Linked DNA regions of Macaca fascicularis. The main gene of each other region encodes a partner of the protein of the gene in region 2 in a complex. Links are inferred from orthologs where the notes say so. Each region holds a gene or a part of one and is shown on either strand. Other genes may lie near its edges.

Region 1 (3,811 bases), on a different chromosome or scaffold from region 2:
AAAAAAAAGAAAGAAGAGAGAAAGGAAAGGAAAGGAGAGGAGAGGAGAGGAGAGAAAGGAAGAGAAAGGAAGAGAAAAGAAGAGGAAGGCAGGAAGGCAGAAAGAAAAGACAAGAGAAAAGAAAAAAGAAAGAAAAGAAAGCAAGCTAAAAGTACCAGAAGCCCCATCTTCTTTCCCCTTCTAGGCCTTTGCACAGGCTGTTCCCTCCCCCTGCAACAGTATTCCCTACCTGCTCACTAAGTTCTCTCCTCATCCCTCAGGTCCCAATGTTCCCTCTCCAGTGAGCCCTCCCTGACCCCTTGGGCTGCATCAGGTGCCTCCTGGATTGGATTTGCCCTCTAGGCTTCCCCAAGCACAATCTGAGCACACTCTGCTCACTCTTTCCCTCACCAGAGCCCCAGACCCTCAGCCTGTGCTGCCCCCATCACAACCCATCACTCTGCCCTGAGCTTCCCCTCTCAGCCATCACCAGTCTGAACTGTCACTGTCTGGGGACTCGTCTCTCCTCCACTAGACTGTGCGCTCCATGAGGGCAGAAACTGGGGCTGATTCAGTCACCCCTGTGCCCCTAGCATCGCCCACCTCAAAGTCAGGCTTAGAGGAGACTTTGGCCCATAGAGGTCATAGGAATCCCCACCCAGGAAGACAGCTGGGGCATCACTCACGGAACATGGCGTCCAGCCTGACCAAGCAGCTGATGAAGTTGTCAAAATCCATGTTCCCACTTTCATCTGAGTAGCGTCGGATGATCATGTTATAGAGATGCTCATTCAGGTGGAACCCTGAGATGGATTTAGTCCTTCAGGTGTGGGGGCCACATGGCCCAACCCACTCCCATGCCCAGGAGTCAGGCCCAAACCAGCTGAGTAAAGGTTTTCTCACCCATCCCACTCCCAGCCCCACCATGTCCCTGCCAGCCATACCTGCCGCCTCAAAGGCCCCTGGGAGTTCGCTACTGCAAATGGTCCCTGATCGGTCAGTGTCAAACTGTTTGTATATGGCCTGTGGGGACAGAGAGATCGGGTCCAAGTGAGCATTGTAGAGCATGGTATCTCCGTGGCTTGGGGGTCTGGGTGCCAGGGATTTCAGAGGTTGCTACACACCTGCCACCTTTTGATGTTGTTCCACAAGTACTTGAATTCCTCAAAGCCCAGCTTCCCTGTGGTGTCGCTCTGGTGGGAGGGTGTTAAGAAGAGTGACAGCTACACCCAGATGCACGCATCACGTGCACTGTGGACACGACGGTGATACAGCAAGCAGGGGAGCCAGAGCTGAAACTCCAGCTCCCGCTTGGTCCTAGTCGTATCACCTGGTGTGCAGTTTTATTTTTCATTTTATCCATACATATCGTCACTTATATTTCTAAATAAGGATTCTCTTTAAACATAACTAGGCCGGGCGCGGTGGCTCATGCCTGTAATCCCAGCACTTTGGGAAGCCAAGGTGGGTGGATCACAAGGTCAGGAGGTTGAGACCATCCTGGCTAACACAGTGAAACCCCGTCTCTACTAAAAATACAAAAAATTAGCCTGGCGAGGTGGCAGGCGCCTGTAGTCCCAGCTACTCGGGAGGCTGAGGCAGGAGAATGGCATGAGCTCAGGAGGCAGAGCTTGCAGTGAGCTGAGATCACGCCACTGCACTCCAACCTGGGTGACAGAGCGAAACTCCGTCTCAAAAAAGGAACATAACCATGAGGAATTATATTCAACTACTCTAAAGTACACATTCCTTGCCTGAAGAGTTGTTAATTGCTCATTCAGAAAATTCTTGATAGGCCAGGCGCGGTGGCTCCCGCCTGTAATCCCAGCACTTTGGGAGGCTGAAGCAGGTGGTTCACTTGAGGTCAGGAGTTCAAGACCAGCCTGGCCAACATGATGAAATCCCGTCTCTACTAAAAATACAAAAATTGGCCAGGCGTAGTGGCACACACCTGTAATCCCAGCTATTTGGGAGGCTGAGGGAGGAGAATTGCTCAAACGTAGGAGGCGGAGCTTGCAGTGAGCTGAGATGGTACCAATGCACTTCAGCCTGGGAAACAGAGCAAGACTCTGTCTCAAAAAAAAAAAAAAAAAAAAAAAAAAAAGAAAAAAAGAAAAGAAAATTGTGGACAGTAACTCAATTTCATAAATGTTAGGACATGTGAAAAACAAGTGTGTGGCCAGGCATGGTGGCTCATGCCTGTAATCCCAGCACTTTGGGAAGCCAAGGCAGGTGGATCGTTGAGCTCAGGAACATCACTTTCTCACTAAATCTTCGGGACACCAGTTCTACCAGGACTATTTCCAGAGAAAGAAACATATTCAAAGCTGAAAACTCTACCCAATATCATAGTTAAGAGCTAATGTGTACAGACCACATACTATGCGTTATGCACAATGCTAAAACTTTTGCATGTAGCTCCAATTCAGTATCACCATTATCACTCACCCATTTTACAGACAGAGAAACTGAGGCACAGAGAGGTTCAATAACCTGGTTAAGAGGTACAGTTGGGATTGCTTCGCTCTATGCAATATGTCTGTGATTACGTGACATGTATATATGTGTGTGTCTGTACTGCCTTATGTGTTAAATGTGCATAAGGGCAGGCGCAGTGTCTCAAGCCTGTAATCCCAACACTTTGGGAGGCCAAGGCGGGAGGATTGCTTGAGGTCAGGAGTTTGAGACTTGCCAGGTCAATATAGTGAAAGTTTGTCTCCTTATAAACTATTTTTTAAAACAAAAATAAATAAAAATATGCATGCATCAAAGGTCAGCTGATGGCTGGCCCATATACAGATATATGTGTGTTCCTGAGCACACTGCCTCATACACTTTCACGCATGTGGGTGTGCTCTTAGGTGTGTGTGTGTGTACATGTGCATGTGGCTGTTATACATTTAGGTTCCCAAGCCCAAAAGACCTGAGTCCACAGACTGGAGTGACGAAACCTCTGCTCACTGCAACCTCCACCTCCCGGGTTTAAGCTATTCTCCTGCCTCAGCCTCCCAAGTAGCTGAGACTATAGCTGCACACCACCACGCCCGGCTAATTTTTGTATTTTTTAATAGAGATGGGGTTTCACCCTGTTGGCCAGGCTGGTCTCGAACTCCTGACCTCAGGTGATCTGCCCACCTCGGCCTCCCAAAGTGTTGGGATTACAGGCATGAGCCACCACGCCTGACCTTTATCTATAACTTGAGACAAATGACTGCTTCTCTCAGGAAACTGAGCCTCAGTTTCCTCATCTGTAAAATGGAGTATAATAATTGTGCCTGTCCAACAGGGTGGTTGTGAAGGTTCGGTCACTTTATATAATTAAAGTGCCAGCTGTAACAGCTGGCATTGTTATGATTTACTGCCACATGTCTGTAGGTGAGTGTGCTCTGATGAATGCATTTCCACATCTGTGGATATGAAGGCTACACATTGGCTTTCCAAACATACTCTCAAAAAACTCCCTGTGCACCCAGGGCCTCTCCCACACTGCTCCCAAGGATACATCCATCACGGCCACCATGCTGCGACACGTGTCAATGCCAAAACCATCAGTCTTCAGATCAGGGTCTGTGGGCAACAGGTTGAAAGTCAGAGGCCAGAGGCCAAAGCCACTCAGGCCCCTCTGCCTCTAAACCTACCCTATTCCTTGAGCCCGGTCACTTACGTCGTGTCACAACCTTATTGAGAATGTTCATGAGTTCTGTGGCGCTGACCTCCATGTCCTGCAGACGGAAGTTAGGGGCAAGTCAGGCGTGACTGAAGGGTCTGAGAATGTCATGGAGAATGGGAACACTGGGATTGTCACGGTCAAGGGTGTGTGCGCAAGGGCAGC
Region 2 (4,512 bases):
GAGGGCTAGCAAAAGGTTTTCATGATAGTACCAAAATTGGATTCTAAGAGAGGTTTTAGCAAAAACATCAGACCATGACTAAACAAAACAGGGTTAAAAACATAGATTTAAACTACTTTCATCCAAGTAATCCAGCAGAGTTTCCTTTAGAGAATCATGAGTCTGGAAGGAGAAGTCTGATGTCAACTCTGAACTATCCCTATCCATATTTGCAGATAATGTACATGGTGCATTTTGATAAGAACCTTAGGCCAATAATGACTCAAAGTAAACGTTTGCTCTTACCACATCAATAAAATGCTACATGTAAAAGTCCAGAAAATGTACTGGAAAACACTCAAGAAGAAATATCTCAAGGGAAATTGGAATTCCCAATTCTTAAAAGTATATGTATATTGTATCTTGATTTTTGAATCTAATTAGTCCTCACCAATACTTATGTAGTGCATATGATTTCTATTTTACAGATGTGAAAGCAGATGGAAAAGGTTGACTTATTTTCATTTAAGAAAAACTCTTTGTTCTCCACAGTGTACATGGAGGCTTTAAAAAGAAATTGTAGGCCTGGTGCAGTGGCTCATGTCTGTAATCCCAGCATTTTGGGAGGCTGAGGTGGGAGGATTGCTTGAGACCAGGAGTTTTAGACCAGCCTGGGCAACATAGTGAGAGAGACCCTGTACAGTGTGTGTGTGTGTGTGTGCATATATATATATATATATCCTATAAATATACACACATACACACACTATACATATATACTATATATATAGAAAGGGAGAGTAAAAAATAATCTAAAAAAACCACTACTTTTGGGATATAATTCTGCCTGGCACATAGTAGATGATCAATAAATGTCCATTGTCTGATAAGTAACAGTTTCTTTCTTGATTCTTATACAGGGTTTCTAGCTCTAAAGTGTGTCTGTTTCCAACATCTTTGCTTTTTCCAATACCACATGCTAAGAAAAAGACATACCTAACTAATTTTTTAATTCTCACCATAAATCCATGAGACATAAACATTTTGGCTCTCACTGTCAACAAAACTGTGTGTGGTTTTGTTTTTTGGTTTTTGTTGTTTTTGGAAAGCAGTCTAATGTTAAATCATGCTTCCTGGTTCCAAAACACTAGAAGTGCCAGCTAGACTGGATATCACACCTAATTGGTAGGACAGACATTCAATGCACCAAACAAATGGAACGTTCTTGTCCCTCATCCAAAGTAATAAAGTGCAGAGCAGTTCGCATTTGTGCGCGCTCTCTCTCCCTCCCTCCCTCTCTCTTTCTCGCTTTCTCTCCCCAACCCCTCCACCGCTCTCTCCAAGGGTCTTGGTCTTAGATCTCAGTTGCTTCTAACCCTTGGTGTTTGGGATTTTCTCCCTGCCTCACATTGCATCTACCTTTCCTTTGCTTAAGGGTTAAAAACGAACCCTAGATCTAAGCTCTTGCGAGCTGCGTCCGAGTTCATTCAGGAATCCACCTTCTAGACAGAATTCCTCCAGCAACAATTCCAGTTCCATCCCACTTGTGAGCGCCAGCAGAGCACAGTGCTTGACACAGGGGCGAGAAAGGTGCATGCGCTGCTCACGCTCGAGCGCGCTCACACATACCACAAGAGGGTGAGTCCCCAGCCTCTCCCGGAGCCTAACCTGAAGGTCTGTGAGGAGGTCGCATCCGGTTCGCACCCGGGCCGCACCCCTTCCACGCCAAACCCCGGACAACGCTTCATCCGCACGCCCAGAAGGGCAAAGCAAACACATTCCCTTCCAACACACTCCCTTCCCAGTCTTGCCCAGGCACAACCGCTCCTATTTACCGTCTTGTACCACCAGCTGGCGAATGCCATGGCAACAACCGGCTAACTCCGATCCGCACGGCGGGGGACCCAGCGAGGGCGCGGGGTGCTGTGTTGGAGGCGCCGGGCTCGCACTCTGCCTGGCCGGGACCTGGCTGGCACTGAACTCGGCACATCCCGCGGCTGCCAGGTGGGCAGAACCCTGGGGGTGGAGCCCGGCGCAGACCCCGCCCCTCCCCGCCCGCCCGATTTGGCTCCTGCCTGGTTAGGGAAGAGGCTCTGCGTCTCCAGGCAGCCACGCCCTGCGGCCCGGCCTTAGCGCGGAAAACTAGATCCCGCTGTCCAGTGAAACCAAGGCACTCACTCGGGGGTCCTGAGTGAACCTCATTCCCCGTTCACCCACGTCTCACCAGCCAACTTTTCTCCACGCGCCCCCACTACACTCTACCCGGCCAACGCCACGCCCAGCGCACTGGACCCGGCCGGGGAACCGCAGACACCTCCAGCCACCTGCCGCACAGCGGCCGAGCCCCGAGCCCTCTCCCTGCCCCGCAGGGGCGCCGGGGGCGGCAGACCGGCCAGGCTGGCAACGCCCAGGGAGGGCGGCCACAGCTCCGGGACCCGGTCCCCCGTCGCCCAGCCCCGCGGCGCCGACAGGAGCGCCACTCACCTCCTGGGTGCGGCGGGCGGCGGCTGCGCGCCGGGGACGCGGGGAGGCGGCGGGCTTCTGGCCGGGCTGGGACATGGCGAGGCCGCTGCGGGCGCTGCCTCCGGGAATGCGCCGCGGAGAGTGGCGGGGAGGCCGGGCGGGGAGTCCTGCCAGGGAGGGAGGGAGGGAGGAAGCGGAGGGCCCGGGAGCGCGCGGTGAGGCAGCTTTTCCGACCCCACCCCAGGTCTGCGCCGGGGTTCCCCTAGCCCCGATGGGCCCTCCCCTTCCTGCCCGTGGAGGGACCCGGGCTCCTGCCCTGTAACTTAACACCCACCGCCCCGGTCCTCACCCGGTGACCCTCCCCGGTCCCAGCACTGCTCGGGTTCCGGTTGGTCAGAAAGAAGGGGTTGGAGGTTACATCGTTCCTCCTTCGATGCCCAGATCTATCTAGCAGTTGTGCAACGAGAGAGCGGGACCCGGGCGTGGCCAGTCTACGCTTCGACCCTCCTCCCAATAATCCGGAGAAGTAGATACTCTTTCTACATTCTTCTCTGCTTTAGCTGTGAGAGTTTACCAACTCAAATCTGGCCCAAGCCTGGACAGTCTAGATAAGGAAGCGGATCATAAAAACAAATTAGTCTGTGTGTGTGTGTGTGTGTGTGTGTGTGTGTTCGTGTGTGTGTGTGTGTGTAAGTGCGTGCACGCGCCTGTATAGGTCGTATATGATTTTACTTTGTTTTTTGGCAGTTTCGAATTTTAATAAACTTTTATGGGGAGGAGACCATAGGTTCCAATGCCAAGCGGAGAACAGTCCCAAATTTAAACCCTTATTAAACTCTTATGGTCTTTCTAGAGTCTGGCGAGTTTTGTTTCTGAAGCTAGATTGCTTTTGTCTTGGGCTCATCTTAAACAGCACTTCCTGGTTTGGGGCTAGAAGTGAAATTTAACAAGCCCTACTAGGACATGCTTATGTGAGAGACTGTCAGCCTGCAGTCGCTGCTGGTTCACCATCAGGCCTGACAGAAAACCTGTTTGTTACCCTGCAATAGCATCGTCATTTTGGGACTTGGGGTCACCGCTGTCTGCAGTGTTGGGATTTAGACAGTTGAAGAGAGAGAAGGCAGATTTTTTTTTTTTTTTTTTTTTTTTTTTTTTTTGAGACCCAGCCTGGCTCTGTCGCCCAGTTTGGAGTGCAGTGGCGCGATCTCTGCTTACTGCAATCTCTGCCTCCCGGGTTCAAGTGATTCTCCTGCCTCAGTCTCCTAAGTAGTTGGGACTACAGGCGCGTCGCCACACTCAGCTAATTTTTTATTTTTTATTATTTATTTATTTATTTATTTATTTATTTTGTAGAGACGAGGTTTCACCATGTTGGTCAGAGTGGTCTCGAACACCTGACCTCAAGTTATCCACCCACTGTGGCCTCCCAAAGTGCTGGAATTACAGGCGTGAGTCACTGCACCCGGCCAGAAGGCAGATTTTAAGGAGAGATTTGTCATGCTGTGTGGAGCCTGACAGAACAGAATTCTGGTTTCCTTTCTACCTCCTCATTTTAGAAATTCTGACTTCTTCCTTAAAGGATAGGATAGCAGCATTCTTAATTTTGAGGGAGGGGATGGGGGGAGAAGAGGATTTAAATGCATTTCCTCTTAAAGGATTCTACTTACTGCCTGTGTATCTAGCATTTCAACAAACAGGTAGCACTGCAGGAATTTATACATAAAAATGAAGCAACTTAGATATTGGGACTATGTTCACTCAGGAAAAACAAATGTTTGTTGGCATCGGTTACATTCAGAAAGGAGGGAAAGTATGCCATAAGTCTGAAAACAAGATCTTCTTATGATTGTGACCACACCACTACAGTAATTTTAAAAAACACAAAAGCTGTAGGGGTGAGGTGACAGGCAGCTCCTCCTTCCTGGCCTCCACCCCAGGAACAAGAATGATTTTCTTACTGGGGAGCCTACATGTCCCAGATTCAAGGTTTTAGATCCCTGGAGTACTTTATTCAAACTCTGGAATAGTTTCCACTGACTTGGTGGCATTAAAGTTTGAGGTTATTTTCCA

Evidence for each region.
Region 1: the proteins of CAST (region 2) and CAPNS1 are in contact, whole or in part, in a crystal structure (PDB 3BOW), measured with the Rattus norvegicus proteins. The link is inferred for Macaca fascicularis from reciprocal best matches to the Homo sapiens genes CAST and CAPNS1. Residues at the interface, in NP_445747.2 of Rattus norvegicus: Pro652, Ile653, Asp654, Ala655, Leu656, Ser657, Asp659, Leu660, Asp661; in NP_058814.1 of Rattus norvegicus: Phe103, Leu106, Gln109, Leu110, Ile125, Lys128, Val129, Arg132, His133, Leu136, Phe166, Trp170, Lys174, Gln177, Lys181.

What each region holds. Positions count from the first base shown.
Region 1 is NC_088393.1:43,389,849-43,393,659, reverse strand, and holds part of CAPNS1 (calpain small subunit 1), read right to left. Parts: intron 3,702-3,811; coding exon 3,644-3,701; intron 3,547-3,643; coding exon 3,482-3,546; intron 1,173-3,481; coding exon 1,104-1,172; intron 1,003-1,103; coding exon 924-1,002; intron 783-923; coding exon 666-782; intron 1-665. UniProt on the Homo sapiens protein: Regulatory subunit of the calcium-regulated non-lysosomal thiol-protease which catalyzes limited proteolysis of substrates involved in cytoskeletal remodeling and signal transduction. Essential for embryonic development.
Region 2 is NC_088380.1:100,638,689-100,643,200, reverse strand, and holds the start of CAST (calpastatin), read right to left. Parts: upstream 2,903-4,512; 5' UTR 2,792-2,902; intron 2,674-2,791; exon of another isoform or gene 2,610-2,673; 5' UTR 2,539-2,609; coding exon 2,464-2,538; intron 1,957-2,463; exon of another isoform or gene 1,845-1,956; coding exon of another isoform or gene 1,815-1,844; intron 1-1,814.